Xenopus tropicalis: one gene and its partners. The protein of the gene in region 1 purifies or fractionates together with the protein of each later gene. This does not show direct contact. Links are inferred from orthologs where the notes say so. Each region holds a gene or a part of one and is shown in the gene's direction. Other genes may lie near its edges. The genes, in order: nfkb1, rps3, aurka, copb2, sp1, spag9 and ikbkg.

Evidence for each region.
Region 2: the proteins of nfkb1 (region 1) and rps3 purify together in Homo sapiens (affinity purification with western blotting; 3 studies listed by BioGRID and IntAct, with this or other methods). This does not show direct contact. The link is inferred for Xenopus tropicalis from reciprocal best matches to the Homo sapiens genes NFKB1 and RPS3.
Region 3: the proteins of nfkb1 (region 1) and aurka purify together in Homo sapiens (affinity purification with mass spectrometry; 4 studies listed by BioGRID and IntAct, counting the BioPlex papers as one, with this or other methods). This does not show direct contact. The link is inferred for Xenopus tropicalis from reciprocal best matches to the Homo sapiens genes NFKB1 and AURKA.
Region 4: the proteins of nfkb1 (region 1) and copb2 purify together in Homo sapiens (affinity purification with mass spectrometry; 5 studies listed by BioGRID and IntAct, with this or other methods). This does not show direct contact. The link is inferred for Xenopus tropicalis from reciprocal best matches to the Homo sapiens genes NFKB1 and COPB2.
Region 5: the proteins of nfkb1 (region 1) and sp1 purify together in Homo sapiens (affinity purification with western blotting, with the first as the bait; 3 studies listed by BioGRID). This does not show direct contact. The link is inferred for Xenopus tropicalis from reciprocal best matches to the Homo sapiens genes NFKB1 and SP1.
Region 6: the proteins of nfkb1 (region 1) and spag9 purify together in Homo sapiens (affinity purification with mass spectrometry; 5 studies listed by BioGRID and IntAct, with this or other methods). This does not show direct contact. The link is inferred for Xenopus tropicalis from reciprocal best matches to the Homo sapiens genes NFKB1 and SPAG9.
Region 7: the proteins of nfkb1 (region 1) and ikbkg purify together in Homo sapiens (affinity purification with mass spectrometry; 4 studies listed by BioGRID and IntAct, with this or other methods). This does not show direct contact. The link is inferred for Xenopus tropicalis from reciprocal best matches to the Homo sapiens genes NFKB1 and IKBKG.

The regions. Positions count from the first base shown.
Region 1 is NC_030677.2:73,654,988-73,659,035, reverse strand, and holds the start of nfkb1 (nuclear factor NF-kappa-B p105 subunit), read left to right. Parts: upstream 1-1,248; 5' UTR 1,249-1,554; intron 1,555-4,048.
Region 2 is NC_030678.2:172,182,969-172,187,120, reverse strand, and holds the start of rps3 (40S ribosomal protein S3), read left to right. Parts: upstream 1-1,352; 5' UTR 1,353-1,387; coding exon 1,388-1,417; intron 1,418-3,334; coding exon 3,335-3,465; intron 3,466-3,843; coding exon 3,844-3,937; intron 3,938-4,152. UniProt on the Homo sapiens protein: Component of the small ribosomal subunit. The ribosome is a large ribonucleoprotein complex responsible for the synthesis of proteins in the cell. Has endonuclease activity and plays a role in repair of damaged DNA.
Region 3 is NC_030686.2:6,094,793-6,097,296, forward strand, and holds the end of aurka (aurora kinase A), read left to right. Parts: intron 1-719; coding exon 720-894; intron 895-1,152; coding exon 1,153-1,332; 3' UTR 1,333-2,004; downstream 2,005-2,504. UniProt on the Homo sapiens protein: Mitotic serine/threonine kinase that contributes to the regulation of cell cycle progression.
Region 4 is NC_030681.2:128,419,605-128,423,104, reverse strand, and holds part of copb2 (coatomer subunit beta'), read left to right. Parts: coding exon 1-53; intron 54-197; coding exon 198-405; intron 406-513; coding exon 514-624; intron 625-923; coding exon 924-1,138; intron 1,139-1,722; coding exon 1,723-1,815; intron 1,816-2,059; coding exon 2,060-2,240; intron 2,241-3,303; coding exon 3,304-3,369; intron 3,370-3,500. UniProt on the Homo sapiens protein: The coatomer is a cytosolic protein complex that binds to dilysine motifs and reversibly associates with Golgi non-clathrin-coated vesicles, which further mediate biosynthetic protein transport from the ER, via the Golgi up to the trans Golgi network.
Region 5 is NC_030678.2:146,984,287-146,988,277, reverse strand, and holds the start of sp1 (transcription factor Sp1), read left to right. Parts: upstream 1-1,191; 5' UTR 1,192-1,240; coding exon 1,241-1,247; intron 1,248-1,554; exon of another isoform or gene 1,555-1,902; coding exon of another isoform or gene 1,903-2,002; intron 2,003-2,329; coding exon of another isoform or gene 2,330-2,332; coding exon 2,333-2,412; intron 2,413-3,991. UniProt on the Homo sapiens protein: Transcription factor that can activate or repress transcription in response to physiological and pathological stimuli.
Region 6 is NC_030686.2:46,700,446-46,703,945, forward strand, and holds part of spag9 (C-Jun-amino-terminal kinase-interacting protein 4), read left to right. Parts: coding exon 1-7; intron 8-304; coding exon 305-478; intron 479-629; coding exon 630-771; intron 772-1,028; coding exon 1,029-1,121; intron 1,122-1,253; coding exon 1,254-1,421; intron 1,422-1,553; coding exon 1,554-1,725; intron 1,726-2,185; coding exon 2,186-2,410; intron 2,411-2,693; coding exon 2,694-2,886; intron 2,887-3,102; coding exon 3,103-3,228; intron 3,229-3,500. UniProt on the Homo sapiens protein: The JNK-interacting protein (JIP) group of scaffold proteins selectively mediates JNK signaling by aggregating specific components of the MAPK cascade to form a functional JNK signaling module.
Region 7 is NC_030684.2:25,684,779-25,688,939, forward strand, and holds the start of ikbkg (NF-kappa-B essential modulator), read left to right. Parts: upstream 1-1,361; 5' UTR 1,362-1,560; exon of another isoform or gene 1,561-1,670; intron 1,671-4,161. Other genes in the region: g6pd (glucose-6-phosphate 1-dehydrogenase), read right to left, coding at 1,158-1,179. UniProt on the Homo sapiens protein: Regulatory subunit of the IKK core complex which phosphorylates inhibitors of NF-kappa-B thus leading to the dissociation of the inhibitor/NF-kappa-B complex and ultimately the degradation of the inhibitor.

The DNA.
Region 1 (4,048 bases):
ACCCAATAGGACTCTTTTGCCTCCAATAAGGATTCATTATATCTTAGTTGGGATCAAGTAAAAGGTACTGTTTTATTACTACAGAAAAAAAGGAATAATTTTTCAAAATGTAAATTATTTGCTTATAATGAAGTCCATGGTAGATGACCTTCTTGTAATTCAGAGCTTTCTGGATAATGGGTTTCCGGATAAGGGATCCCATACCTGTACTACCATTATGTAATACACAACTCAGTCTCAGTATTCAGCCCTTTTAAATTGTCCTTGGTTGTTGGAACATTTCCCATGAATTCTAAAGTTTATTAGTTACTCTAAAGTTGACCATTAAGATAAAACTATGATTTTCATATATCTGCAACACTGAAACATTATTTTTAAATAATATGTGAATTTTGCAATACATTTTGCAAAGTAATTAATAAATACAGATAAAGAGAGTTGTCTGTAAATGTATAGCTATTGTCCTATACCAGATATAAGGCATAAGACTGATTATTTGGTGTACTGTATATAGAACAATGAATCATTAACACAAAAGGGGTCATTTATAAACTCAAAGGTAGGGTGCAAAGTGCAAAAAGATGGTGAATTGCACCCTGCCTTTCAGTTTGTAAATGACCCCTTCTGTGTTAATGATTCATAATTCTATAAACCGAACAATCAGTCTTACAACGTTCATCTGGTATAGGAAAATATCTATACATATACAAACAACTTTAATCCAGACAGGCCATGTGTTCAAAGCAGTGGGATTTTCATTTAGGGTGCCATCTTTGCCATACATATATGCTGCCCTATGCTGCACAAACAGGCAGCATAGGGCAGGCAGAGTATGGCACACACAGGCAGCATAGCGCAGGCAGAGTATTGCACACACAGGCAGCACACATTGCATCTTTATGTTCAGTTACTCCCATTCATTGCCTTGGGCCTTAGGTTTACTGTAAAAGGAAGGCAAAGAAGCCAGGCGGGTAGGCCAGCATTGTGCTGCTTACTCCACACACCTGCAATGCCATTCCTATGGAATAAAGTAGCATGGTCTCTGTGCTGCCCAAGGTACTAAATGTTTATTGTACAGTCAGGACACGTGTGCAAAAAGGGAAAGCTGACAATCGGCGACAGAGAAAGAGAAAAATACGCATAGAATAAAGTTGCATCGTGTTACTCTCTGGCCTCCCACCGGTCGAAGTGACAGCAAGTGGGAAATTCCAGGCAGGAAGTGAGAACAACAGCTACTTCTTCTCTATGATGGGCAGAAGAAGCCGCACAAACCCCTCCAGCGGGGAGGAGGCGAGAGGCTGAGCCCGCCCCGAGCAAAGAGAAAACAAGGAAACTGAAAGAGGCAGGAGTGCGGCTGTGCGCCCGGGCTCTCACTTTTCTGCCCTTCGCTGCAATGGACAGCTAGACAGGAGCCTGCTGAGGAGGTGTCATTCATTATCTGGCTCGCACGGCAGCGCGTCCTGTCCATCACCAACACGCAATTCTTTGCATTACTGCGGCTGTCACTCATTTACTCAATCGGGAAAGACGGCCAGTAACTATAACCAGTGCAAGGTAAGAAGGAAGCTGATATAGAAAACCTTTGCTTGCCTGATGATGGGTTCCAGTCACTGAGTGCCAAAGTGCATTCATCGGAGCTGAGCTTACCCTGAGGCACTTCCTTGTATGCCGGCGCACATGTGCGCAATATTGTGCCCCCCGGGATTCCTGCCCCCTGTGTTGGAGCCTACCAACTGGGCAGCCCTGCTCTAATGTTACACTGCTTTAAAGGCAAAGGTTGTGCTTAATACAGGGGGAAATCATTGATACAGCTCAGAACACCTCTCTTCCCAAGCCTCTTACACTTCTACTTCCTTGTGATTCTGTTTCCCCAACGGTGATAGGGACAAGAGTAATCACTCAGTGGGTGTGAGCAGTGTCCATATGTGCTCTAGAAAAACTGTCAGTGATGGAAGAAGCGTGATGCTTGGGGTTAACACACAAACTGCTCATTGGGAGCCTGGCTTTTGTACCATAGATGCTACTTTGTATGAACAAACAACTGCTGAATTTGTATCAACAAAAACATCTTCACTGAATCTTGATAAATTACAAATCTTTTCTGTCTGCAGCTTTCTTTTTACCTATAACATTTGCTGCATCTTTGTGTTACATTTAAGTGAGAGTGATTTGTAAAGCATTACTCTCTTTTTAATAAGGTAATGCAAGATAGACAGAATAGACTGGTGTAGTGTAATATGAGGCCTTTCTTTGACTTTTGAACGTTTGCTTGCATCTGTTTTGGTCCAGGCTCCTCAGATTAGCATCTACTAACTTCTATCCATTAGGCTTTCTCTAAAATAAACAATCTCAGCTATACTGTATAAAAAGAGTAATAGCATAGATATTAAGGAATAACAGTTTATATTCACAAGTTATGTGTCACAATAGAAATATTCTGCAAGTAGAGAGGACTGGCAACACTGAGCTTAATGTGATGAAAATAATATTGTATTTATCATAGCATGAGCAGCCAATGTGACGTTTTGGCCCCCCTAAGGACCTTACCCATTTAATTTTTCTCTTTAATTATAAAACAGTACCGTGTACTTGATACCAACTAAGAAATATTGAATCCTTTTTGGAGGCAAAACAATCCTGTTGGGTTTAAATAATATTTAAATTATTTTCTAGCAGACTTAAGAGATCCCAATTACAGAAAGACCCCTTTTCTGGAAAACCACAGGTCCTGAGCATTCTGGATAACAGGTCCCATACCTGTATTATTTAGGTTATTCAAGGCTTTTGAGTATTATGAGGATTCTTAACCTATGGATCAGGACCCAGAATAAGGTTCCCATGCTGTTTTGGGTGGGCCTCCATAATTCTTTTTACATTATGAAGAATTTTCAGATACAGGTATGGGATCCCTTATCCGGAAACCCATTATCCAGAAAGCTCCGAATTACGGAATGCCCGTCTCCCATAGACTCCAATTTAATCAAATAATTCAGAATTTTAAAACTGATTTCCCTTTTCTCTGTAGTAATAAAATAGTACCTTGTAATTGATCCCAACTAAGATACAAATAATCCTTATTGGATGCAAAACAATCTTATTGGATTTAATTGCAGTTTTATTGATTGTTTGGTAGACTTAAGGTATGGAGATCCAAATTACGGAAAGACCCCTTATCCGGAATACCCTTGGTCCCGAGCATTCTGGATAACGGGTCCTATACCTGTATAGAAAATAGAAAATTGCAATGAAAACAAGGCAATTTTTTCAGTAACAAAGCTGATTCAGCCATGTCATTTGGGATTTCAGACAAAAAGTTCAAGTAGCACAGGATCTAGTTTATATATCAGTGAAATAAAAAAAACTCTTCTGTCAGCTATATGAACTGGGAGACGTATTAAAAAATCTACCAAATATCTATTACACTTATATACTGTATTTCTATTAGCATACCAGTATTGTGTCTTACCTGGCCAGTCTTTATGTTTAGACACACAACTTGCTAAATATCAATTTATTGCAAATATTGTATTAAGATCAAATATGATGATGAATGGTTGCTGTAAAGGGGATCTCTGCCTAAAAAACCTTTTTGTAAAATGATAGAAAACTTAATTCTAAGCAAACTTCCAATATACGCTGATTAAAAATCAATGCTGTTAATTGCTATTAAAGCAGTATTTCTTTATTCTTTTCTCTCTGGCTCTGGGTTTCAAGAGTCAGAACCAATAGTGCATAGAATACAGTAGTACCCCCATTTTACGTTTTTCAGGGGACCAGAAAAAAATGGTGCAAAATCTGGAAAAATGGAAAATCAGGGAAGTTTATTATGTGTTAAATATTAGTTGGACCACAAAACAATGGTGTAAAATGCAGGAAAACTTAAAAACCACAAAAAATTATTAGTTCATGTATATTTAAAGTTGCATAGAATGGTATTTTCTTTTCTATTGTGTTGTTGAAAACACTTTCAAATTAAAGAGTAGGCACGATGAGTAAACATCAACTGACTGAATGCTGTTTTGTTATGTGCTTACTCATCATCACCTAT
Region 2 (4,152 bases), on another chromosome or scaffold:
GATTGGGGGCTTGGGGGCAATATGATGGCTGCTGACACAGGTACAGATTGGGGCTTGGGGGCAATATGATGGCTGCTGACACAGGTACAGATTGGGGCTTGGGGGCAATATGATGGCTGCTGGCACAGGTACTGATTGGGGGCTTGGGGCAATATGATGGCTGCTGACACAGGTACAGATTGGGGCTTGGGGGCAATATGATGGCTGCTGCTGGCACAAGTACTGATGGGGGGGGCAATATGGTGGCCACTGGCACAGGCACATGGTGGCAATGGCTGTTGGCACAAATACATGGGGCAATGTAATGGCTGCTGGCACAGGTACATAGTGGCTTTATGATGGCAACTGGAACCAGTACATGGGGGCAATATGATGGGGCAATAAAAAGGCTGCTGGCAGCCTGGCACAGGTACATGGGGGCAATCAGGAAGGGGGGGGCACTCATTGAAGCCCTTGCCTAGGGTGCCAAAATACCTTGGCCCGGCCCTGCCGCATCGGCTCGTTGATGAGGTTCCCGAAACAGCTGCATCTATTGCCGGCATTCTTATTCAATTGTTTGGCCCCAGGGCCAAGTCAGATATTCTTCAGGACTGCTAATCATCTGCCCTGCTGCTACATAGTTTCAGGAGTCAGAACCACCATGGCAGATAATATAAACAGCAACAGCAAGAGGGATACTACTTTCAATAGTAATTACATTCACAAATAACTGAAAAATATCATGAATTTGTAAATATAACATTTTTTTAATCTTCCTGAAGTAAATTTTATTTCTATAAGGACCTTTGGAGAACTGTCAAATGCCAGTGGTGGGGGGCCCTATATGATTGGACAAGGGGGAAGGGCTTCCTCAGAATGGGGCAAGGGGGGTCCCTAGTGGGACCAGATCCGACATTCAGAGGTGACAGGCAGTTTCCATGTATCTACATGAGAGATGGCACACAGTGCTTCCTGCAGACTGAAATGTTACCTGAGCCATCGGCCTTTATTATTTCTGATTATATTAACCCTTTACATGAGTGGTTATTGCACTTTGCTGACAGACGACTAAATGGCAAAGTACAGGAAGTGTTAGGCGTACATTGTTTGGCTGAGAGTTGTAGTACAACAAGAGCTGTTGAGATATATCTATAAAGTACCAACTACTAAGAAAGGCAAATTTAGAAATTTGGGAACACATTTTCAAGAAAATCAATATTTTTTGCAAAATGTTTCCCCTACGGCAAACAATTTCCTACGCAAAAATCACCGGTGAAACTCCTATGCGCTAAAACTACATATCCCGTGGGGCATTGCGCGCTGAACGCACACTTTCCTGTCACACTCTAGGTATATAGCAGCTTCCGCCGGAAGTGGCCTCCCTTTCCTTCCAGCGGCGCTTCGCAAGATGGCGGTGCAGATCTCTAAGAAGAGGAAGGTAGGCTTAAAAAAAGCGCTCTTTTATAGTGTGCGGTGGGACATTGTAGGGCAATACAGTTAGCGCTGGGTCCAGGGGGCTCCGGAGGGTGCAGGGAAGCATAGAGCGGGCAGATGGCTGTGCCTGCGGGGTAGATGGATGGAGATTGAGTCGGGCCTGAGAGTCCGGAGCTGACATGGCTGCGCGCTGTTTGGCCCCAGGCAAGCCGGGTATGTGTGTGGGACTGTGATACTGAGATAGGAACGTCTGTTTCCTATTGGCTACACCTAGTTGGTATAGATAGGGTTAATGAGACTCTCTGTACCAACTATTTGTGTGTAAGTTACCCCTGTATTACTGTCTGTCTGTCTCCTATTCACTATTATTGCCCTGTACCCCAATGTCTCTATCTGTAACCTTGTTATGGGCTAAGGGGGCCCAGCCTGAAGGCCAGTTAGGGGGGGATTTGGGGTGAGTGTTTATTTGTGCCCTGGGTACCCCTGGAACTATAGCGGGGTGACTGTTACCCCAATGTTTCTATATATCTGTAACCTTGTTATGGGCTAAGGGGGCCCAGCCTGAAGGCCAGTTAGGGGGGGATTTGGGGTGAGTGCTTATTTGTGCCCTGGGTACCCCTGGAACTATAGCGGGGTGACTGTTACCCCAATGTTTCTATATATCTGTAACCTTGTTATGGGCTAAGGGGGCCCAGCCTGAAGGCCAGTTAGGGGGGGATTTGGGGTGAGTGCTTATTTGTGCCCTGGGTACCCCTGGAACTATAGCAGGGTGACTGTTACCCCAATGTTTCTATATATCTGTAACCTTGTTATGGGCTAAGGGGGCCCAGCCTGAAGGCCAGTTAGGGGGGGATTTGGGGTGAGTGCTTATTTGTGCCCTGGGTACCCCTGGAACTATAGCAGGGTGACTGTTACCCCAATGTTTCTATATATCTGTAACCTTGTTATGGGCTAAGGGGGCCCAGCCTGAAGGCCAGTTAGGGGGGGATTTGGGGTGAGTGCTTATTTGTGCCCTGGGTACCCCTGGAACTATAGCAGGGTGACTGTTACCCCAATGTTTCTATATATCTGTAACCTTGTTATGGGCTAAGGGGGCCCAGCCTGAAGGCCAGTTAGGGGGGGATTTGGGGTGAGTGCTTATTTGTGCCCTGGGTACCCCTGGAACTATAGCAGGGTGACTGTTACCCCAATGTTTCTATATATCTGTAACCTTGTTATGGGCTAAGGGGGCCCAGCCTGAAGGCCAGTTAGGGGGGGATTTGGGGTGAGTGCTTATTTGTGCCCTGGGTACCCCTGGAACTATAGCGGGGTGACTGTTACCCCAATGTTTCTATATATCTGTAACCTTGTTATGGGCTAAGGGGGCCCAGCCTGAAGGCCAGTTAGGGGGGGATTTGGGGTGAGTGCTTATTTGTGCCCTGGGTACCCCTGGAACTATAGCGGGGTGACTGTTACCCCAATGTTTCTATATATCTGTAACCTTGTTATGGGCTAAGGGGGCCCAGCCTGAAGGCCAGTTAGGGGGGGATTTGGGGTGAGTGCTTATTTGTGCCCTGGGTACCCCTGGAACTATAGCAGGGTGACTGTTACCCCAATGTTTCTATATATCTGTAACCTTGTTATGGGCTAAGGGGGCCCAGCCTGAAGGCCAGTTAGGGGGGGATTTGGGGTGAGTGCTTATTTGTGCCCTGGGTACCCCTGGAACTATAGCGGGGTGACTGTTACCCCAATGTTTCTATATATCTGTAACCTTGTTATGGGCTAAGGGGGCCCAGCCTGAAGGCCAGTTAGGGGGAGACTTGGGGTGAGTGCCACTAATGGAACTGTATATATATATCGGGCAAATGGCAGGTGTTATTGGTAAGGGACATGTGCGAGGAGTTAGTGACATTTGTATATTAATTAATGGCTCTCTTTGCAGTTTGTCGCTGACGGCATCTTCAAGGCTGAACTCAATGAGTTCCTTACTCGGGAGCTGGCTGAAGATGGCTACTCCGGTGTAGAGGTCAGAGTCACCCCAACCCGGACTGAAATCATCATTCTCGCTACCAGGTAACAAGTTGGATCTTTATTTCAATCACTTTTATATTATCTCACATTATCTGTAGTTGCATTCATTTTGGTGATGGTGACGTATAGATATGATATATAGGATACAAAGCCAAGACCTGTTATTATCCTGATTAGAAACTGTGCATTAGAATTTACTGCAGGTAGGATAATGGCTGCGTAGGGTTTATCATCCTTCCAGAAGACTAATACACAGTTCTCCCAGGATTGTGGGTATAAGTAGAATATATGGCGAAGCAAGCTGGCAGTGATATTCACTATGGGGATATCCACAATTTCAAATAGTTCCCTTCCAGAACAGCTTGTGTTTGGTTGTGTGCATTGCTGCTTTTGTAACTCCGTTCCGTTTCCCACATGCAGAACCCAAAATGTTCTGGGTGAGAAGGGCAGGCGCATCCGTGAGCTGACTGCAGTTGTTCAGAAGAGGTTTGGATTCCCTGAAGGGAGTGTTGAGGTAAGTGATCTCTCTGCCCGTATTAACTACAGAGCATTTAAAGGGTAGGAGTGTGCTATTTACATAAGGGCCCCTGTAACAGCCCCCTTTCCCCACCACACCACCCACACTCCTCCAACCCACTACCCCCCATACCTTATAATAAAAGGCAGAGTAGTTGGTGGTGGGCATTGCTTGACAAGTCAGGGCTGGATCAGCTGCAAATGTGCCTGGCC
Region 3 (2,504 bases), on another chromosome or scaffold:
GGGTGAGTGCTTATTTGTGCCCTGGGTACCCCTGGAACTATAGCGGGGTGACTGTTACCCCAATGTTTCTATATATCTGTAACCTTGTTATGGGCTAAGGGGGCCCAGCCTGAAGGCCAGTTAGGGGGGATTTGGGGTGAGTGCTTATTTGTGCCCTGGGTACCCCTGGAACTATAGCGGGGTGACTGTTACCCCAATGTTTCTATATATCTGTAACCTTGTTATGGGCTAAGGGGGCCCAGCCTGAAGGCCAGTTAGGGGGGGGATTTGGGGTGAGTGCTTATTTGTGCCCTGGGTACCCCTGGAACTATAGCGGGGTGATTGTTACCCCAATGTTTCTATATATCTGTAACCTTGTTATGGGCTAAGGGGGCCCAGCCTGAAGGCCAGTTAGGGGGGGGATTTGGGGTGAGTGTTTATTTGTGCCCTGGGTACCCCTGGAACTATAGCGGGGTGATTGTTACCCCCAATGTTTCTATATATCTGTAACCTTGTTATGGGCTAAGGGGGCCCAGCCTGAAGGCCAGTTAGGGGGGATTTGGGGTGAGTGCTTATTTGTGCCCTGGGTACCCCTGGAACTATAGCGGGGTGACTGTTACCCCAATGTTTCTATATATCTGTAACCTTGTTATGGGCTAAGGGGGCCCAGCCTGAAGGCCAGTTAGTGCAATATCCTGGCATTTCTGAGATCTGGATCTTTCCATTTTGCTTCTCTTCAGGAGGACCACTCTGTGCGGAACCCTGGACTATCTCCCTCCTGAGATGATTGAGGGCCGAATGCACGACGAGAAGGTGGACTTGTGGAGCCTGGGAGTCCTCTGTTATGAGTTCCTTGTAGGGAAACCTCCATTTGAGACTGACACCCACCAGGAAACCTACAGACGTATTTCAAAGGTATCTTTCTATATCCCCCTTAGTACTCCCACCTCCGTGCCCAACATACGGACAGGCAGGGTGCTCCCATCACTGGGGTGAGGTGCTTCACTATTATAAATATCAGTACTGATTCCAACTAGACTGGCTATGGTCAAACTGGTCTTGTTACCACTAAATCTGATGGGGGGGTCTAAATACAAACATGACATATTTAGTGCTGCGCTTCATACCCCTTCCCAGTATAACCCCCCCTCCCAACTGCTTTATTTTCTGCAGGTTGAATTTCAGTATCCTTCGTATGTATCGGAAGGAGCCAGAGATCTCGTATCGAAGCTGTTAAAGCACAACCCAAACCACAGGCTGTCCCTGAAGGGGGTTCTCGAACATCCGTGGATCATAGATAATTCTGCTCAAAAGCCCAAGAGGAAAGAGGGGCCGGTTACAGGGGCTCAATAGGAAATCCCCTGTGGATCTTTACTTTCCCAAATGTGAGAAGGCACAGCAATTTGCACCTGCTGGATACCCCCCTGCCCTGTTTAATGGGGGGGGGGGGGGGTCACAATCTGGCAACTCACAGCTCAGTATTTGCTTATTGACTCCAACACAAGGCAATGTACCATGGAACACTCACCGCCTTGCGTGCCTTTTGTGAATGGGACTAGACTGCCTGATCTGGAACGACGGGTTCTTTAAAGGGGCCACGAGGCCCGGTGCTTTATAACTTCTATCGTCACAAACCACTGCTCTGCTACTGGCACAGGTTCCCTTTACTATGGATGTTTAACCCCAGATGCGGCAGTTATAAAACTGTATACGCACTGACAACTAAAATCTGCCGGTTCCGACACCACTGATTGATTATACAGAGATTGTAAGGTTTCCTTGGCCGGTGCAATAGTGATGTGAATGCCTTGGGTATATTTATTAGGCTGCTAATATGGCTGTCCCATTACACAGCTGCTCTGAATACTGAGAGAATGAATTCAGTGTAAATACCTATTCTGTATCAACTTATATCTCGTCTGTCCTTTTATGTGTTAACAACACTTTTTAGAAAAGCATAAAAATCTGTTCTAAGATGCTCCCTTTTCTTTCTGTGTTTTAAAATAAAGCTGATTGAAAAAGTTACTGCCAAACGGTGCCTTTCTCAGTTAGGGAATGGGTGGCAAAATGGGCTGGTACCCCGAAATCCATAGATTCCAATGGGGGGAAGAAAGAAGGGCAAAGACATGGGGCTCCCCTAAGCAGGAAGATGGTACATTACTAGTCTGACACTAGCCCAGATGGGTCAGTAAGCATAGAGCCATGAAGGTTATTATAGAATAGGCTGCCTACAGGGCTACTGGCACTTTATTGTGAGTTGGAAGCCTGCAACATGACTGTTACCCCAATGTTTCTATATATCTATAACCTTGTTATGGGCTAAGGGGGCCCAGCCTGAAGGCCAGTTAGGGGGGGATTTGGGGTGAGTGCTTATTTGTGCCCTAGGTACCCCTGGAACTATAGCGGGGTGACTGTTACCCCAATGTTTCTATATATCTATAACCTTGTTATGGGCTAAGGGGGCCCAGCCTGAAGGCCAGTTAGGGGGGGATTTGGGGTGAGTGCTTATTTGTGCCCTGGGTACC
Region 4 (3,500 bases), on another chromosome or scaffold:
AGACTCAACTACTATGTGGGAGGAGAGATTGTTACTATTGCACACTTAGATAGGTGAGTAACTTTGCTGCATAGGAGATCTGGTGAGAAGGTTAAGAACATCATTATTTGGATCTTCTGATTACAATAGAAATACATTAGTAAATACAGTATGTATATCATTTTCAAAAAAATTAAGCTATTTTTTTCATTCCTCAGAACCATGTACCTGCTTGGTTACATTCCCAAAGATAACCGCCTCTACCTTGGGGACAAGGAGCTCAATATCGTCAGTTACTCACTGCTTGTATCAGTCTTGGAATATCAGACAGCTGTCATGAGAAGAGACTTCAGCATGGCTGACAAAGTAATCCCAACTATCCCCAAAGAGCAGAGGACCCGGGTTGCTCACTTCCTGGAAAAACAGGTAAAGACTGGGCAAATGGTGACTGGAGTTCTGTTAGTATTTGGGAGGTGATGCTCTACAGTGTCAGGGGCCCTCTGCTTGACTTTTTATCTTTTTCTTTGTGAACAGGGTTTCAAACAACAGGCTTTGGCTGTGTCCACAGATCCTGAACATCGGTTTGAGCTAGCACTTCAGCTGGGAGAGCTTAAGATTGCCTATCAGCTAGCTGTGGAAGCAGAGGTAAAGTAACCACACTTTGCTGACTGGGTGGCTTTAGTTGTACTGGTCACTATCACAGCATTTTTTAAATCCATAATTACATTATTCCAAGGTGGGTTTTTAAAAATCCCAGATCCTATTTTGATCTTAAATACTTGGGGTATTGCTTTGCCCACCTGCATCGGCTGCCTTTACCTACATTAAAGAGAGTTAATTGTAAGGTAAGACATAAATGGCAGTGATTATTGTAGGAAGCTTTATATAGAGTTTCTTTGGTTCTTACTGGACAGATTACAATTCTCTGCCTTTTTCCTTAACAGTCAGAGCAGAAGTGGAAGCAGCTGGCAGAGTTGGCCATCAGCAAATGTCAGTTTGGATTGGCTCAGGAGTGCCTACACAGTGCCCAGGACTATGGTGGGCTCTTACTCCTCGCCACCTCTTCAGGGAATGCCACCATGGTGAACAAGCTGGCTGAAGGTGCAGAGAAAGATGGAAAAAACAATGTAGCTTTCCTAAGCTATTTCTTACTGGGGAAGTAAGTGGTGTCCGGTGTCATGACAACATTAAAATCTGGTAACTTTGTCCCTGACAGTGTCAGAGAAATCACTTGAGGCTCTGAATTACTTGTCCTACAGAGTTCATTATTTTGTATGCAACAATGTTTGCCTTCATTTATACCTTTTCCCTAAAGTATATCCTTCACTATTTCCCAGTTCTGCTAATTGCATTGCCTTATTTTTCTCAGGGGCCTACAGTCCCAATCCCTGGGTAGCTCAATATTTGTATTTATTTTTTTACAGTGCCTAATAGCCGCCATGGTATGGTGGTCTGGGTTGTTTTGCTGCAGTCTTTACCACTTTGTGTTGGTACCTGACCCAGTAAAGGGTACTTGTACAAACAGCACTGAACAGTAAAACAATACATTAATAGGTGATACAAATTACAATTTCATTAAGGTTAAGTGATAGGTCTTAGAGACGAGGAAGAATGTCCCTGTCCCGTAGCGCTTACAATCGCATTCATGAACCAAATATTCGTAATACCAATAATATCTGCTTGTATTTGTATTACAAAATATTTTCAATTTATATCCTAATTTACTGAGCATTTCATTTCTAGATTGGACTCCTGCTTGGAGCTGCTCATTTCTACAGGCCGCTTGCCCGAGGCAGCATTTCTGGCAAGAACCTACCTGCCAAGTCAGGTGTCCAGGTAATAATGTATAAGATGTTATATTTGTTATAGTTATACCAGTGAGTTATGACCTAGGCAGTTCAGGTATTCTGTGAGTTGAAGGGCAGAAATCTTTGCTTCTCTATGGATATTTAGACAGCAAAATGTAGGGTTGGGTTGCAAACAACATACCCTTACATTTTTTCAGTAATTTAAGGGGGAGCATGATGTCAAGAATCAGGGAGTGTATATTTCAGATATGTTTTTCTTGTGCACTCTTCAGGGTGGTAAAATTATGGAAAGAGAGCCTAGGCAAGGTCAATCAGAAGGCAGCAGACTCTTTGGCAGACCCCACTGCATACGAAAATCTCTTTCCTGGTCTAAGGGAAGCCTATGCGGCAGAACCATTTTTGAAGCAGAACTCGGGCATTCTGCTTCCAGCTAAGGAATATCGTCATGTGACTGTAAGTAACTGGGATATACCTGAATGCAGTTATTTGTACAGTGTTAATATTGGTGGTACATGTATAAGGCAGATCTCAAGCTCTGCACAGCCCAGTCCTTTTTTTGTATTGGGCCTGTCATCACTGACAAAAATAGTTGTTTGTATTACTATAATGTCTTTGTTAAATGTATAATGAAGCAGTAGAATTCTTAATGAATCAGATGAAAGTGAGTGTAGGACTGGCCAGACCAGGGATGACTTTGACGTAATTGGCCAGCTCAGATATATTGCAATATATGGACAAACAATCCCTGTTTTACTTGGTAGCTTAATGCACTGAATGTCTTAATGTACTATATATATTGATAAAGGGTGAGTAAAGAGGACCTCTTGTTGCTGTCTGTGTGAATACTGAGCACCATTTGTTATTTAGAGAGTTAAAGGTTGTGCAGACTATTAATAAACAATGCAAACAAAATAGGGAGGACTGTAAACAGAATATTCATACCATTTAGTTTAATATTCAAATTGAATAACAATTTACTCAAATTAAACTAACTCTTGAGATCTAAGAAGGGCCAGACAGGCTATCTGCAAGTTTGGATATATGGGTCTGAACTATTAGACTGTATCCATGCTATTAAACCAGTTCTGGGTGCATAGTTGGCCACAGGGACATTAAGGAATCCTTTGCATGTCTCTGCCTATAATGCCATAAGTGATGGTCAAAGCCTTTCAGTTTTGGATTTAAGGTAGTGCTATGTGTGTAGCATTAGGCATGCAAATATTATTATTAACATTTATTTATAAAGCGCCAACATATTCCACAGCGCTGTAAATACCTTCTGTTTTAAGAAAGCTGTCAGTGCTTGTCTTGGGCTTGGTTTGTTCCCTCTCTCCCTAACCAATATGGTTATTTTGCTTTGCATCAAAAATATAATTCAACTTCTAGAAAGCATCCCTAAATTTGTCACCAGTTTTCTATAAATATGTAAATCTTAGATAGCAGACAACCAGAGGCTGAGTGATGCATTGTACATACATGTATAGTAATAATACATCCTTAATTTTTGCTCTTTTAGCCAAACGAAGAGAGAAATATCTTGTCTGAAGCAAAGGGATTTGATCCATCAGAATCCGCCTTCACTGTAAGTTGTGGTTCAAACAGTACCAAGGAAAGCAGGAAACCACTATTTCCATCCAATAGCATTTCCTAATATTGGTGAACTAACACACACCTATATCTATATTGGAGGGGTGGATCTATAGAATTAGCAAT
Region 5 (3,991 bases), on another chromosome or scaffold:
TTAATGGTGATGGACTCAGTTACACCTTTAGGGCTCTGGCACATGGGGAGATTAGTCGCCCACGACAAAACTTCCTGTTCGCGGGCGACTAATTTCCCCGAGCTGCCTTCCCCTGCCATCCCACCGGCGAAAATGTAAGTCGCCGGTGGGATGGCACACGCGGCGGCGCGATTTAGCACAAATCGCCGAAGTTGCCTCGCGAGGCTTTTTCGCCGATTTGCAGGGGAAGGCAACTCGGGGAGATTAGTCGCCCGCGAACAGGGAGTTTTGTCGCGGGCGACTAATCTCCCCGTGTGCCAGAGCCCTTACAATCTAATAAATACAGCCAGGACTGTTTTCTCAAGAAAAGGCATTCATTTTTTATTGAGCAATATATTTCTATTAATGATAGGACTGACAATGCTTTACTGGACTGGCTGCTTAATAATTATTGATATCAATTTGGAAGAAGTGGCCCAATAAAGAAAATAAGCCTTATATATTGTGCTCGGCTTTATGTAACCTATGTCACTTTTTTTTATTGTTGTAACTCTGATATTTATTCTAAACCTGCTATTTTCTATGCACGACCCGTCCATCATTCCCTCTCTGTATTACAGATAATGCGGCCCCTTTAGTCACGTAGCCACTCAGTCGCAACTCCGACTGCTGCCATCTTGCTTCCTATTTGCACGTAGGCTGATGCCGAATAAAAACGAATACTTTAATAGCTGTGGCCAGTTATTCTAAATAATTAAAGAGCGACATTCTGCAATTCCAGCAAATGGCGCCCAAACCCTACAACGACCAGTCAAACTTTAATTTCCCTTCCCCTCCTCACACAGCTCTTCAATTGCTTGCTTTTCTCGTATGATTCGTCACTTAATGAAACGCCTTGGACTTCGTTCGATTATGATTGGCCCTTTTCAGTGTCACTCTAACCTTGGGAAGGGTTCAGACTAGAGAGCCACCACCCCCGCCACATTCTTTCATCTCCCTCCCCCATCACACACCGCCTCCGTGGCTGGGCGGGGTCACTCCACCTCTAATTGGTCAGCCTTCTCTGTCAGTCTCCAGCTAACTGCACCCACCGCGCCACCCCATTGGGCGGGTGGAGCCGCCCCTCGGCGGGAGTGGTTAGGCGGTCTGTCGATCTCCGCCCGTAGCCCCGCCTACTCACCGTCTCCGCCGCGCGGCAGCCAGGTTAGGTTGCCATCGTCAGCCGAGGTTTGTGTGAAGTACCTACGGCCCCAGAAACAACATGAGCGGTAAGCAGGAGAGTGGGCATAAGGGCGGGAGGTAACGCGGGTTCGCAAGCTTATCCCAGAGCCCCTCCTGGCTTGCTCGCACGCAGCTTGTGTGAGGGATCGCTCCCCCTGGCCACTTTGTGGGCTTTTTGCTGCGCGCCATGACTCGCTGGCGGAATGCTGAGAGCGGCCGGTACCACCGGAGGAGGAGGCGGGGGTGTAGAAATAAAGTCATATCCGCCCTCACTACTTCGTTCGTTCTCCTTCCTCGCCCCCTTTTTACTTTTCCCTATAACTGGAGAGGTGGTTGTGGCGGTAGAACCCCTCCCTGCTGTCCTCCTCTCCCGCCCTGTTTTTCTGCCCCCTTCGGTGGGTGGGGTAGAATTGTAAAATTGCCCCCCGCCCCTCCTAGCATGGTAGCCGGTACTTTTCGTGACACAGGGAAAGGGCAATACGTGACCCTAAAATGTTCCCCGGAACCCGTTGCCTTCGCCTATAATGTGAAGCCTGCGGCCCTCCTTCTGTAGCCCCCCCTGCCCAGAGCAATCCTTGCCTCACACTGGGGATATCTGCCCCTCTGGCGCCCAAACACTCCCAGTATCCGTAGCTGTGGGGTATCTGTAGTTCCCCTGAAACCATTATCCGCCCTCAGCTCGGGCAGTTTCACTGACATCGTATGGATGGGAGGGACCTTCATCCGGTAGATCCCTTCATTAACCTGCTGAACGGGGCCGCTGGGAGTTGTAGTTTGCCTCTGGAGTTGCCATTACTCGCAGGTGAAGCCTATGTAGACCATTTATATTTATTTGTAAATCATTTTACTTCTAGAACGTACTCCTCTACAGAGGGTTGTGGGAGTTGTAGTTCCACAACAGTGCTGCTAAGGCTATCTAGGCTGATAGATGGGAAACATGTTTGTGAGTCTCTTCACTTCCAGTATTGAGAGGTTTGTGAGAGTTGTAGTTCAGCAGTCTGTTTCTAAGCTGAGGGGTTTGTGTTTCTCAGGGAAGTAGGGCCGGCCATGTTGTAAGCCTGTGTGTGCATGTTTACTCACTGCCCTCACTCACACACTCTCTCTCTGTGCTTGTGCCCTTCGCTGACAGCAGATCAGGAGCACACGTCCGATGACATGCCTACGATAAAGTCCGAAAACCGGACAGGAGGTGGATACATCCAGAAGGGGCAGGTAAGCGGAACCCACCCATATTGCATTATACACAGATAGGCAGGGACCATGCCTGGGAACTATCCAGCCCTCTCGCCTTGGCTGCCTGTACACTGGATGAGCATGGGGGAGGGGGGCTGAGGCCTTTTTTTTTTTCCTCCTTTCTCTTTGAGAATGGCTGCTGTCCTCCCACCCTTTGGCTGGCAAACCTCCCACCCCCTGTTCCTGACTGCCCACTTGGGGCAGGCCCCAGAAACCCTTCCCCCCAGCCCTGTCCCTCCTGTTCTCTCTCTGGCTGTCTCCTTGACATGCTGGTTTGTTTACATGCTGGCACTCTTTGTGCTGTTGCTAATACTGCAAATGGCACCTAGGACATAGCCGTAGAAGGGTTAAATTGACATTCACGTTCAGTCTTGCATCTTATTGGCAGCTACATTTTTAATTAAATTCAGCAACTGCATCTGCTGCTTCGGCTGGTGGGGGCCGAGTGTAAATGGCAGTTAGGGTTAAATCTGCTCAGATTTGTAGCAAAGGCTGGAAAGGCAATGCTCCACTAAATTTCACTGAGTGTTATTTTTGCTATTGTGCAACAATAAAATATCACTTACAGCACACACCCAGTTTATTCCATTGTGGGTAGTACTGTCTTTGTACCAACACCCACCTAGGCATGGTTATCTCTGCAGCTTGTGCTGTCTTAGGCCATCGCAGGAGGTGGCGCCCCCAACTGATGATGTTGGATATCTTCCCAACGCTGAACCATGTATATGTAATAGAGTGCTACAGCTATAGAATCCCTTATCCAGAAAGCTCTAAATTGCTTGCAGACCATCATAGAACTAAGTTTAAAGGGCACCTATCACCATTTAGTTTCTTCCCGCCACCAGAGGTGTAGGCTTTAGAGCCCGCATTCTGGAAAACAATAGGTTTTTTTTTTTAAACAGCCCCCACGGGCGGCCATGTTATTTAGCGTGCATGTGCATAATGAGCAAGACTCCTCACTCATTGTGCGCAAATGTGTGACGTAGGAGCAGCACACACACACACACATATATATATATATTATATGTGTGTGTGTTTCCCCCAACCAGAGTGCGGGCTCTATTAGCCTGCACCAGGATGTGGGGAAAGCAATTCGATGTGATATTATGCTAATAATACTAATTTATAAAAATGATTTCCCTTTTCTCTGTAATAAAACAGTAGCTTGTAATCGATAGTATCTTAGCTGCATAAATCTGGGGCAAAACAATTCTTTTGTGTTTTGTATAGTGATGCAAATTACTCAAATCCCTTAAACCTAGGTCCATGCATTCAGGGTAATAGGTCCCATTCAAAGCTGTTTGTTTTTTTTTTTTTTGACAACAAATTTTCTTCCATTATTGACTTTCCATTATATTTATTATTTTAATGTAAAATAAGTAATACTGTGTGTTTTTCCTGGGAATGCACACTAACATGCCTGGGCAATGACCCACCTGCACCATTACCTCTCTCACTAACATTGGGGTAAGCTAAGGCTAATGCCACACGTAGCATATGGTGCATTGGCCTGCCTTCTCCTGTAAGGTGGTCACTCTTTCTACCATCTTTCTGTGTG
Region 6 (3,500 bases), on another chromosome or scaffold:
GGCAGTTGTAAGTGTAAAATTCTATCCCTTGCTCTTGCTATAGACACTTCATCAAATCCTGTATCTTTTTTTAGTAGATCAGTAAAGAGTTGCCTTAGCTGTATCAGTGATGTAAGCACTATCTACCAAGCTGGGCAGACTCACTTTGACTTGATTCAAATGATCATTGTTTGGTAATGCATTTACTGATAGTATATATAGCCACCCACTGGACGGTGCCTGAGGGGGGCAGTAGAGTAGAATAGAGGGAAGGCGGCAGTTTGGACACCTCCCTGAATTACATGCTACTTTCATCCTGTATCAGTTTCAGCCGACTGTTCAGCTCTTCGGCCACCGCCTCGAAAAAGCCAGACACTCCGGTGAACCTCAAGTACAATGCGCCGACCTCACATATCACACCATCCGTCAAGAAGAAGAGCAGCGCTCTCGCTAAGCTTCCCTCCGACAAGTCCAAAGCCTTTGACTTCCTCAGTGATGAGTATGTGCCTCTGAAATACTCCTTTGTTTCATTTGTCCGAATCCCCACAGCTTCTGACCCTCAGACTACCCCCTGACATTAGCAGTGATAACTTACTTGCTCAAAGTTCCTTTAAACGTATTTCAATACGGATCATTCCATTCATTTGCAGCCACTCTAGTGGGAGTGAAGTGGCTCTGGCATCGCGGCGAGAACAGAAGCGTGAGCAGTACAGGCAAGTGAAGGCACACGTACAGAAGGAAGATGGGCGGGTGCAGGCGTTCGGCTGGAGTCTTCCACAAAAATATAAGCCGGTAATGTATTACCCTGTACCGCGTGTGAGACTGGCCCACATAGGGGGGCACAAAGCCTATTAGTGCCTAATAATGCACTTCATTGTGTAAATGTGCGTGCCTCAGTACTAAATTTGAGCCCACAAGCAGAGAGGGCTGAGCTAGATATAGTTTGTTCAACTTTTAGTGTTTTCTTACCTTGCTAGCATTAAACAGCAAGTGGCTTCAGCAGCTTTCATATGGAGTCATTGGAATTGTGTGCTATTCTGATACACTAGGTGGCAAGTGAAGGACAGAACGAGAGCAAAATGAGGAATCTTCCCGTCCCTGTTTACCTGAGGCCTTTGGACGAGAAAGATACTTCCATGAAGGTAAGTGCTTGCTAGAAGGCTTTGTGTATGAATAACGTTTGACAGTCTGTATGTAGCACAAGCAGGACGACTTCTCCCATGTAGGTCTATTCTGTGTCCTCAGTATTCATTTTATCTTTATTTCATATACAGCTGTGGTGTGCAGTGGGAGTCAACCTGTCTGGCGGAAAGACAAGAGATGGAGGCTCAATTATTGGTGCCAGCGTTTTCTATAGCGACGCCCCCGGAGCGGAACTAGACAACCAAAAACCCCGCAGTGACTCTCAGAGCAGCTTGGATAAACTTGAGCAGGAGCTTAAGGTACAATGTTAAGTGCTTCCTAAATCTAACTTCTTTCCTCAGTGCAAACAAAAGTGCTGTCTGTCCCTGACAGTTATTTTTGCCCTGAAAGCTGACAATCAGGCCTCATTCCACCCCCTCTATAACTCCTAGGTGCAACAGAAGGAACTACGGCACCAGGACGAGTTATCGAGCCTTGTATGGATTTGCACCAGCACTCATTCCTCCACTAAGGTCATCATTGTGGATGCCAATGACCCAGGGAACATGCTGGACAGTTTCATTGTCTGTAACTCTCACGTCCTCTGTATTGCAAGCATTCCAGGTGTGATAAGTAGAAAATTATTTTAGAATCGCAACACCATTAAAAACCTTTTATATGAAAGGCACTGTTTAATTTGCAGCCCTGCTTTCTGGTGATGCCTATGACTGATTTAGGCAGGATGGGAGATAAACCCTAATAATATAATATATATAATATATATACGGGAGGTAATTATGGTTACAGACCCTGTAGTCGGGGGCAGGGTGACCCGGTCTGCTTTCTCTATAGTTACCAATAAATCCCACCTCTCCAACTGCTCTCCAGGGAAAGGGAATGCGAGGGACTTGGGTGGGAACTTGGTTGTTGGTAAAGGCCGGGTAGGAGTCTCTGTTCACCATTCCCCCACCAATTTACTATGGGGGGGGGGGTGCAGACTAGTTACTCCACTGGAAATTGAACTATATTTGCATGTTTAAATAATTTTATTACAGGTTTGTAATTCATTATTCACTGATTTCAGGGGCTATGGAAACCGATTACCCCACAGGAGAATCATCAAAGCCGGAATCGGAAACAGGCCAAACTGATAAAACGTCGCTGTCTGAAAGTCTTTTGAGCAGCGGGTCCTCGGGGGCGGAGAACGTTGCAGTAGGAGTCAAAGTGGGAGGGGCATCTTTGGAGGACATAGAACCCTGTGCTGTACAAACGCCAAGCGTCCTGCCAGCTGAGGAGGAAGTCAGTCAAGGTGTGGATATACACTTTTTTAAAGGACAAGTTCTCCATTCCTTTTGGTTTGCTATTGCATTGAATTCTAGAACATTATTCCCTGCCACTGCAGTCTGGTTGCTATGGTCTCTTGCCTCTGGGGGCAACTTAAATGATAGTGCTTGCCAGCTTAGTTATGTTTAAATATTTTAGGTGGCACTGTGACTCCCTTTATCGGGTTATCAATTTGAGTCACTGCTTCAGGATTTGCAAGGTTCTTTGATCCTAAACCCAGGAACACATTGCTATTCTTGTGTTTCCAGATCCCGATTCCACAGACCGGGAACTGGATGACAACGTGGCCACGGCAGAAGAAGCCACAGAGGACACGGAAGTGGGAACTGGCTCCAACGATGATCTGGCTGACATTTCCCAGACAGGGGTTTATACGGAGCATGTATTCACCGATCCCCTGGGGGCACAGACCACAACAGAGGACACAGGCTACCAGCCTAGGTAAGGACTGAATATGGCCAGCACTGATCTAAGTATGGCTATCATCCATTGCTAAGTAAAGTGCAACAGGTTGAACTTGATAGACATTAGGGATGCCCCGAATTCAGGGTGTGTGTGTGTTTTTTTAATCTCATCTACTACGTCATTAGGAAGTGGCATTGGAATTAGAATGCAGATCTTTGTATTTTCCTTTTAACCTCTCTCTTCCACCCCCAGCAATGACTCTGACCTGTATAAAGATGGCATTGCCACATTACCAACTGAACAAGACCTGATGAGAGAGGAAGCCCAAAAAATGAACAGCTTGCTGCCTACAATGTGGCTCGGAGCCCAAAATGGATAGTAAGTAAAATGATGCTTATGCTCTCTAAAGCCCCCACAGATCAATAGGTGGCTCCTTATAAACTTGTATACGCTTCACAAAGTCTTCCTGGGTTGGGGAATATGCAGAAGATGTAGGTGTAATAGTGGCTGACAGTATGGGCACGGCTGTAGCCACTGTAGGTGTTTACTTGGGATTCAGAGCACTTTTGCAGCCCTGGCAAGTCTGACTACTTGAATGTAGACAGTGTTTTGAAAGATACAGTAGAGTCATCCACCTGATTTTGTAGACA
Region 7 (4,161 bases), on another chromosome or scaffold:
TATTGGGCTGGTGGGGGCTGTTTGGGCCTCTGTGTACTTGGAATGCCAGCAGGGGTGGACTGAGCCAACCGGCCACCCAAGGCAACCCGGGTGGCCACCTAGTCCCTGCACTATTGCATTGCACCCCCCGTGTGTTTTGGCGGGGGGGTGCGATGTGAAAGTTCATTGCCCCCACCGCGGCAGGGGTAATGAAAATGGAGCACTAACTAGGGGTAGGCAAGAGAGGCTCCTGCCTGGCGCCCTTCAATCGTTGCCCCCTAGGCAGCTGCCTCTTCTGCCTACCCCTAGTTCTGGCCCTGAATGCCAGTCCAGCCTGTGCCCCCCAACTGTGATTGAGTCACATGCCCCTGCTGCCTAGCCCTAGTTCCAGCCTTATGCTTCCTCGTACATCAGGATTTAAGGCAGAGTAGAGCAGCAGGGTTGGCAGCTGCCATATATATGACTTCCTCTGCCTATTGGGGTACATAGGTGTTTTTGGGTCAGGAGGGAGGACTCTGCAGGGAAATGAAAGAGAAAACCATAAAAATTGCTTTATTATCACTGGAATAACAAAATGCTGCAATTGGTCAGCAACTGGCACAGTGCCTGGTCATTAGGAACAGTTCCCAACTATGGATCACTTATACATACATATAATATACATAGATCCAATATGAATTTCAGAGTTACGTGCGCACACATTAAACACATACAAGAGCAATGATTAACCTGTAAAAATATTCATATACAGATATGGCACCTAGTGATGTCATTGTTTATAATCAGCACTTAGTGATGTCATTCACAGCACCACCCACTGATACTTATATAGAATAATGTGGCCCCTGGTAAAATCCCATTATAGTAGAATATAGCTCAGGGTTCCTGACATGCATATATACAGGTGTATATGAAACCTAATGCTTTAGCAGCTGGATTCATCGCTCTAGAACACTAACAGATTTGGTTTTCTAATTGAGACGCGTGTGGCAGTTCTATGGCAGTAATTTCTCCATTGAAAGAAGCATGCTGCGGAGCGTGTAAGCAGGCTGTGTGCTACTCGTGTAGCCGCTACCCCCCACACGCTATAACTAACACACACACAGAGAACAGGTTTCCACACATTTTTCTAGTGCTGGAACACTGACACCAGGTGAGAGATCCACCCCCTCACTCACCCACACTGGGACTGCTCCCCATCTCTGCCTACTTCTGTAGCGTTACACCCAGCCCCGGCGCCGCTCCACCAATCAGAGAATGGTTTAGCCACCACATGGGCGTGGCTTGCGTCATTCACCGCCATGAGGTGCGCCGCATGAGCACGGTTCCCCAATGAAAACAGAGAAAAGCGGCAAACAGCCAATCAAAGGAGGGGATGTTGCCGAAGGTCGCCATCAGGAGAGTATTGGCACATTTTACCGCTTACATTTTTTTCTAATCCAATGCAGTCATGCCATGCTTCATTTCCGGTTTAGGACTCCTGCCCCACTTCCGACAATACTGTCAAACAGCGTGAGCCTCATTTCCTGGGGTTGGACCATCTACGGAAAGCGAACCCGGAAGCGATACAAAAACACTTTGGTAAGTGTCTTGACAGAACCTGGACTTCAGTTTCATTTTGTTCAAGGAATGGGTGGAGGAAGCCGACCCTGAGACAGTGAGTGGAGACTCTAAGCGTTACTGCACAGTAGGTAATTAAAAGTGGTTTTATACTAATAGAATGGGTGTCGGATCCAGCACCCATAGCAGAACATCACAAGCAGCTAACCCATACATGCATTCAACGTTTTCACTGATTTTACAGCTATTTGTAAATGCACTCGGTAGCTGTATGTATCCCTTCCTGTGTATAGTCATTGCTCATGCAGGTTTCAGTTGTCAGAACCAGCAGTGTAGAGAATAGCAATAGGGTATGTCGGACAGTCAGCTGATTGTGCTCTATTTTAATGAAAAGACCTCTAAAAAACCAATTGTACCTGATGATGTGAAGTGTAGGGGGAATCAGGGAGATTTGGAATGGAGGAGAGCTTAGACAGCAAGCTGTCAGTAGCAGCATTTGTATACACCATAGGTCACATTCACTTACCTAAACGCAGGGCATAAAGTGGAATTTACCCACAGTGCACTGTTTTTTTCCAGAATTACGGGGTCATTGCAATCACAAATTGATGATTCTCTTGACACAATTGCAACTCATCTACTACAGTTGCGTTAGGTTTGCCAAAAATAGACCCAACTGCGTGTGTGTGGCGCAGATGCAGTGCATATTTTCTAAAAGTGCCTGGCGAGATCGCCAAGTGAGCGGATCTTCTCCCGATATCCCCCACCTACGGGTGGGCAATATCGGGTGAATTCAGGCTAATTCAGTCGGGGACCGCATCAACAAGCCGATGCGGTCCCCGATCTGACTAAAATTTTTAACCTGCCTGATTGATATCTACCGATTTCAGGCCAGATGTCGGTCGGGCAGGCCTGTCGTTTGTGCCCCTACTTGGGCCGATAAGCTGCCGAATCAGTCTAAGGGACCGATATCGGCAGCTACAATCGGCCACCTTAAGCCTGCCTGTCATGTGGACACTGGTGGTCAGGTTATGTTAGTCGGCTTGCATAGGCAGTGTTGTGAATGGCTGGATTTACAGGGGTGCAACATCTGCCCCTTTTGCCCACTTGCACATTGGCAATGGAGATACCAGCTGCATTATATTGGGGTCAGAGGATAGTCTGGCAGACTGCAATTGCAATACAAAGCAGTCCAAATAATTTTATGGTAAACTATATAAAGGGGCATATATACATGCACACAGCAACAAGGGAATTATGGGCAGTGCTGTGCCCTAGGGTGCAGGTGGCACTGTCGGCAAGGAGTTTCTCTGTTTTCTGCACTGCTTTCCTCCCTCATTCAAAAACATACAGGCAGGTTTATTGGCTTCTGATAGAATTGACTCTAATGTGTGTGAATAAGATAGGGACCTTAGATTGTAAGCTCACTGGGGCAGGGACTGATGGGAATGTGATAGGGACCTTAGATTGCAAGCTCACTGGGCAATGACTGATGGGAACTTGAGATTGTAAGCTCACTGGGCAATGACTGATGGGAACTTGAGATTGTAAGCTTATTGGGGCAGGGACTGATGGGAATATGATAGGGACATTAGATTGTAAACTCACTGTGCAGGGACTGATGAGAATGTGATAGGGACCTTAGATTGCAAGCTCACTGGGCAGGGGCTGATTGGAATATGAAATGGACCTTAGATTGTAAACTCCACTGGGGCAGGAACTAATGGAAATGATGTATAATCTCTTTAAGTGCTCCAGAATATGCAGACACTATAAAAAGTAAGAAAGGTAATAATTAAATGTTGGTGTTAATTGTCCTTTAATCCCATATTGTAATTATGTAATTTTGCTCTGATCCCAAACAGCAGACACTGATCACCTGGGCTGCATTCCTCTTTGCTTCCTTCTTATCGCTGTCTCTCCAATAACATTCACAACTACTTCCTTATTCCTTCTGATAACATGGGAGAGATATAATTGGCCAATATACTATGTGATGTCATCAGGACTTTCCCTTTTTCTCTGGTATTCAGAACTGGTCATTGGTTTCTATTAAACCGTTTCCTATTTACTTTTGCTTTATGGTTGGATGTCTATATCTGTTTATAATGTTTTATGTTTTTATGTTCTTTTTTTCTATTAGTAGAGGTAACTATGGTTTACAGTCTGGTTTTACCAAATAACTAGCCTTTGGGGTGGGGTAAACATTTTTACTGGCCCTATGGATTTTCCCATGTGTCATGGGGAATTTCCACCCCTGTATATTCAGTGTAGTCTCTGAAACTCAGGTTCCCTAAATGCCTTTGTAGGCTATAAATGAAAAGCTACTTTTAAAGAGGTTGTTCACCTTTATGTGGATTTTTAGTATGTTATAGAATGTCCCATTCCTAGCAACTTTGCAGTTGGTCTCCATTATTTATTTCTCTTAATGTTTGAATTATTTGCCCTCCTTCTGCCTCTTTACAGCTTTTAAATGGGGGTCACTGACTGTGGCAGCCAAAAACAATTGCTCTGTGAGGCTACAATTTTATTGTTATTTTTTTACTTTTTATTCCTTATCTTTCTACTCAGACTCCTCTTATTCCAGTCTTTTATTCAAACCACTGCCAGGTTTCTAGGGTA